Linked DNA regions of Rattus norvegicus. The protein of the gene in region 1 interacts with the protein of each later gene in a pairwise test. Links are inferred from orthologs where the notes say so. Each region holds a gene or a part of one and is shown on either strand. Other genes may lie near its edges.

Region 1 (3,343 bases):
GTCTGTCATGGTGCTGGCACTGGTAAATTGGAGCAGGTGAGCCTTTGACCCCCACCTGTGTCAACTTGCCCCCAAACTAGTCTGAGTCCCTGTTTTGAAGGCTGTGCTGAGGAGCAGCAACAGAAGGATCTGGAAGCTTCAGTGTATGAGGCATAGTTGCTGCGTCCACTGGACATCATGTCCATCCATAGACAGTTGTCATGTTCAGTTACACATAGTGGGGTCCCACTTTGACCCTCTGGATGACTGTAACTGAATGTAGCAGGGAGCCACTGGGCACTCTCCCTCCCCTTCTGTGATATGATCTTTGTTGCTCAGATTGAACCCTCCCACCCCCCATGGCTACCAAGTCACAATCATGGGATGTGATTGTTTAAGGGTGGCTGTCCATCAGCAGCCCCCATGGACCCGCCAAAAACCCCACTCTTCCTAACTTCTCTGTCACACATCCAGTTACCTGCCTCATGGCTCCTCTATCCTGTGCAGCCATGATGGTCTGTATCATGCTCTGAAAGACACTGTTTCTGCTTAGTTTGGCAACATGGGGCAAGGGCCCTACCCAGTAGCACCCTAGTCTCTATGATCCCGTTGGGTGGCTAGTCTCCCCATTGTGTCCTTTCTACTCCCATCCCAGGTACCTGGTTTACAGTAACATTGTTAACGGAGACCATATTAGGCAGACCCAATATGAGTAGCCAAGCTACTGGCTTCCTGTGCTCTAAGGGGTCAAATCTGTAGTAACAGGCTGGCCAGAGAAGTGGGAGCAATCTTGGTGCACATTGCTTTGGGCTTGTCCCCTAGAGTTCCCAGCACAATCCTGCTAGGGCAGTGATGCCCACATATCCACCAGCCCTGCCAGGTTAGCTGAGCACTACTCAGTTTGTACTCCAGAGTGACTGCAGCAAGGCAGCTCTTGGGAGGGATGGTGACCTCTGCAGGGCTGGCAGCTCTCTGCCAAGAACCTAGGTCTTTGCATGCCACCATGCAACCCTGTTGTGCTGTGGAGGCTGATGACTCCCCACAGACTTGTAAACAGGCTGTACCTTGCCTTCTGGCTCTGGAGTGAGGGTGTCTTGTCTCCTAGTTTTCTCCTGTGCCGATACCTGCCCCCGAGCTGTGGAGGGATGTGATTTTGCAAACGGCTCAGAGTACGAGGTTGCAGCTTGCTCATGGCATATTCAGTGATGTGTGGCCCCAGTGGAGCTCTTGGGCCTTGGGGAGGCTGGGTCTCCAGATCACAGGGCACAAGAGATAGGACCATTAAGAAAGCCGCTAGGTGTGCTCTGGGCTCCCCTCTTCCTGCCTTGCTGCCCTTCTTAAGATACCATGCCCCAGGCCCAGTTGCTGTCCCCGGAAGCTGTGGCCCTGCCTTACTTCTCTGCATTTACCATAAGAGCTAGGCCTTGTGGTGGGTGACATCCTGCCTCTGCTCAGCCTAGAGAAGCGAAACTGTTTGTGAAAGCTGGTGGGGTTCCCTGGGAATACCCATACACCTGGTGGGGCCTGTCCTGGGCCTCTCCATGAGTATGAAGATCTAAGACAGGCTCTGGGGACCCTCATGGGTAACCCTGTCTAGTGGACAGGGCAAGCCAGAGACTATGGCAGCCTTCAGATCACTGTGGGTAGCTACCCAAGCACAGGGTTGGGAGGTCACTCCCCTGCTTCTACAGCCACCCCACCCACTTCCTGATATCTTTGGTCATTTCCTCCCAGAGTACAAAGTCGTTACTGTTCCTGCCTGTGACATGGGTACCATACAGCCCTTGCAAAACCCTTGTAACAGCTCAGAGTCAGGAGCACCAAGGTCATGGCACCTGAAAATCCACACTGGTACCTTATCTCAGGAGTCCAGCCTGCTACTGTGCATGTGTGGCTTCCATGCCTTTAGCCTCTGAGCAAAGGCACCCTAGAAATACCCCCATACTGGGCCCCCTGTCTCTATAGCTAGTAGTAGACCTGTCATATCTCATGCGAGGGTGACCTGGGCAGTGGCTACCTTGCTTGTGTGTCCTAGGGGCTTGGGTATGATGAGTGAGGATGATTGTGGTGGGCAGATTGGGGTCTTGTGCCCCAGAGGGGTGACACATATTGTTTGGCATTCAGATAGTAACACAGCCACTCAGGACTCTCTGCCAGGTCCAGCAGGGTCAGGGCCCAGCTGTGTCTACTCTGCTCCAGGCTCTCAAGTCTAGGCTCCTGATTGCAAAGTGTGCTTTGTGAGGTCAAGTTCTGACTTCCTTGAGAGGGGGGGGAGGGTCCATCCTTATCAGCTGTCAATGTCAAAGTGGCAGGCACCAAGGACTCAGGTACACAAGAGCTTCCTGAAGCCTGCAGTATCCACAAGGCTTGAGCTGCCATGGGGTCTGTGCTCTGCCTTTGCCAAAGTAACAGGGTCAGCCAAGAACTGGGAAAGATGGAAGTCTCCATGGGGCATGGGCCTGGGACCTCAGAGGCAGTGCGCAATGCTAGCTGGGTCACAGCACACCCCAGCACTGTTGGCTTCTCTAGGGCTCACCCAGATACCCCATCTGCCCGCCTTTCCTGGAGTTCACATCCTTGACAGATACAGTTGCCCTCCACAAGCCAGCAGGAATTCCTCCTGTGCCCTCACATGCCTTCCTCCTTGTACCCAACAGCTGGTCAGCGAGAAAGTTGGTGGGGCCGAAGGGACCAAACTGGATGATGACTTCAGAGAGATGGAAAAGGTAGGATTCCACACTGGACTGTGGTGGGGGCTACTCCTGCTGGAGGACAGAAGAGCCTATATCCAGCTCCACCTCCACCTCTAATGGCTCCAACACTGTGGCTCTCTCCACAGAAAGTGGATATCACCAGTAAGGCCGTGGCAGAGGTGCTGGTCAGAACCATAGAATATCTGCAACCTAACCCAGGTAGGTAGGGCCTGGGCCTCTGGTTAGAGGGGTAGGAAGGGGAATACTGGGTCTGATTCCTCAGACTTCCCTTGGAACTGAAGTGATAATGACCTACTCTTGATGGCCTCTACACACACAAGGATTCCCTCTGCTGACTTGCAGAGCCAGTGTGCAGTGGAACCAGGTCTTCCCAGGCAAGGGTGACAGGGCACTCACTGAAGATTGAGAAAGTTAGACCACGTTCAAGAACCCAGACCACAGTGCTGTGATCATTTTGGCCTCTGCAGATGACAGATAGGCCTTCTTGCCAAGGCCTGGAGGAAGGGATGTATTGGAATTGTTCCCCTCCTCTGTGAACTGCCAAGTCCTTGGGAGTATACCCAGAGACAGCCTGGTGCCTGGCCCACTGGCCAGTTGGGGATATGAGGGCCCTGGTCTGGTGTACGCCTCAGTACAGTATAGTGTGGAGA
Region 2 (3,000 bases), on another chromosome or scaffold:
AGGAAGTCACACTTTGAAAATAACTTCAGATTACTCACTCCCCACACAAGAAGCAAGATGTGCTTGGTGTTCTTTCTTCCTCTTACATTTTTCATTTGAAGGACAGGGCTGAAGACTCGGTTCTCTTGGCATCTGTTAAGTTGGTGAGGGTAACTGATTACAGTTTCTTCTTAGTAAAGCAAGCACATACTCAAACATGTTGATTCCAATGCCTGAGTAGGTGGATGGGCAGTTTAAATTCAACCCAGGCTACATGAGACTTTCAAAATTCAGAGAGCCCCTGTTGTAAGAATAGCAGAGATGTCATGAAGGAAAATCCTGCTTAGCCTGATGATAATGGGTGGTCCTAGGGCGAGAAAGATGCTAGGGGTTGAGCACTTCTTGCAAAGGACTCAACCATAGTACTTGGGAGGCAGAAGCAGGATCTTGTAACTAGTGGGGCCGCCATAGTTTCGTGATAAGATCCTATTTCATGAAAACCCTTTAATTTGCTGGGAGGTGCTTTTTGGTTTTGTTTGTTTGGGATTTTTTTATAGGATTTTTTTTTTTTTTTTTTTTTGTCTGTTTTTGTTTCTTTTCTCTAACTCTGGCTGTCCTGGAGCTAAGCTCTGTAGATCAAGCTGACCTCAACCTGACAGCCTGTACCTCCTTAGTGCTGGGATTGAAATCATGTAGCACCCCCACCCCAGCAGTTTTCTGGGAGTTTGTTTGGTGTACGTGTGATGTGTTAGGATCACTAGAGCAGTCTAAAGCAAACTCCTTACCATTAGAGCTATATCTACAGCCCTAAAGTAAAGCCCTGAGGGTCTCTTGTGTACATTCACTGTAGGTAACAAAATGGATTGAGATGAAGGTTGGATTCCCAGTCTTACCTCAGGGCTGGCATTTCAGAGAAGCATCAAGTCTAGTCTGAAACTCTGGTGTGTTCATGTTAAATCTCTTTGGTTCCACAGGGGAAATGTGGTGTGTGGTGCATGGGACAAGCCTTCCCGCAACCTCAAGTGGTTGGGTTCGACTACAGTTCCATGCTGGACAAGCCTGGGTACCCGATAAGAAAGGGAAAGCGATTGCCCTCTTCCTGCTTCCGGCCTGCACATTTCCGCCCCCACACCTGGAGGATAACATGCTGTGCCCCAAGTGTGTCCATAAGTGAGTGCTGTGGGTGTGTGCTGCCCGAGGGAAAGGTTAATTTCAATTAGCTGTGTCGAATATTACTTACCTTAATCATGTAAGTATATTCCCAAGGAGCTGCATTTACAGATCTTGCTATGTAGATTGTGCTGATCTCAAACTTGAAGCAAAAAAAGTCTGCCTGCCTCTGCCTCCTGCTTGGCATTAAGCCATACTAACAGGTTTTTGTCTACTTTTGGGATGGCTAGGAACCAAGGCTCACCTAGATCATATTGAGACCCTATTTTGTGAAAACCCTTTAATTTTCTGGGAGGTGTTATTTTGGTTTCATTTGTTTTTGTTTTTCTCTAACTGGCAGTCTTGGAACTAAGCTCTGTAGATCAGGCTGACCTCAACCAACAGCCTGCCTCTACCTCCTTGGTACAGGGATGAAAATCATGCACAGCCACCACTTAGCAATTTGAAGCCAGCCTTGAAGTTCTCACTGTCCTGTCTCCACTTTCTGAGCATGGGATTACATGGTGCCCTGGGGCCTGGGTTATGCAGTGTGGAGATCAAATTCAAAGGTTCATGCATACATTCCCAACAGATCTTGCCTATTTTTAAATCTTAGCTCCTTCCTGGTTCTGGTCTCTTAACTTGTATTCTCAGCAGACCATTTGTAATCTCAGCACTCAATGTAGTGTAGACTGGGATAGATTATTAGGAGTTCAGGGCAAGCCTGATCTACCTGAGACTCCATCAGATGGGGGGCAAGGGGATGCTGAAGTGGGGAAGGAAGAAATATGTAAATGAATGAATCCATGGATAAATTTGTTTTCTAGGAACAAGATCTTAACTAAGAGCCTTGAAGGATAAAGAACGGATCTCTTAAGGTTGGACAGGCTACTGGCATCACTCACTCTTGTGGCGTGATCAGCAGAACTGCAGCTGACACTGAGACTGATGGAAACCCACACCTTTGAAGGTGCCCATCTCACCCAGGAGTGATGGGATATTGTAAGTTAGTTGATGCTTAAGTACAAGCAGTTTAGACAAAGCCACGGAGGCCACCAAAAGGTCCTCTGCTCATTGTGATGACTGAACACTGGGAGTGGCCTCTTTCTCTTGTGTGAAAGTAAAGTGTTCTATGTTTGCTGCAGGTAAGTCCTAGGGCAGGACTATGACATGTCCAGATGTAACAGTTGCTAGTCCTGTCACCAGCACAGTGGGGTCACAGCCAGTTCAGTGGTCAACTGTAAAGACTTAGCTTGTGCCTGTAGCCTCTGCGTGTCCCCTTCCCTGGTTTGTAGTGTGATGTTAGTGCTCAGTATTTGGGTTTGTTTTCTGCTGTTGTAAAATATTATACCAAATCTGGTTTGTGGCTTTTGTTTTTGTTATCTGTTTGATTGATTACTTTTCCCCTGAGTTCGTTCTGCCTCTCTGGACATCTTGTGTGAGAGGACTTTGGAACAATGCTTGGAACAGAGAGAGGTAGGGTGGGGCTCTGTCCCAAGCCAGGAAGAGCCAGGCTACAACCATGTGCTCAGGGTGTGATGGGAATGAAGGCCACCATCACCAACCACTTTGTATCCTCTGTACCAGCAATGCAGTTATTCCATAAAGGAACAGAAAGGTGCTTGCTGGTTCCCTCGGGGGATTGAGTATAAGTTAGGGCAGAAGCTTTCTGTGAGATTGCTAGGCTTCTATCATCTCCTGATGGACCCCTACTGTTTGTAGTTGATGTCATACACTCAACTGCCAACCCTGTTTCTGCCTCCCTCTCTTGTCTGAAAAGGACAAGGAGCTGGTGATCAGTACTACAAGTACCTTGGATGAAATCCACAACAGACAGACGGGTAGTGTTCTGATCTGTTCCTGGGGGAGTGA

The links. The genes of interacting proteins can lie anywhere in the genome.
Region 2: the proteins of Sh3gl1 (region 1) and Dppa4 interact in binary tests that used the Homo sapiens proteins (3 or more experiments, as listed by UniProt). The link is inferred for Rattus norvegicus from reciprocal best matches to the Homo sapiens genes SH3GL1 and DPPA4.

The regions. Positions count from the first base shown.
Region 1 is NC_086027.1:936,548-939,890, reverse strand, and holds part of Sh3gl1 (endophilin-A2), read left to right. Parts: intron 1-2,636; coding exon 2,637-2,705; intron 2,706-2,818; coding exon 2,819-2,891; intron 2,892-3,343. UniProt on the Homo sapiens protein: Implicated in endocytosis. May recruit other proteins to membranes with high curvature.
Region 2 is NC_086029.1:66,032,756-66,035,755, reverse strand, and holds the end of Dppa4 (developmental pluripotency-associated protein 4), read left to right. Parts: intron 1-953; coding exon 954-1,149; intron 1,150-1,955; coding exon 1,956-1,989; 3' UTR 1,990-2,500; downstream 2,501-3,000. UniProt on the Homo sapiens protein: May be involved in the maintenance of active epigenetic status of target genes. May inhibit differentiation of embryonic cells into a primitive ectoderm lineage.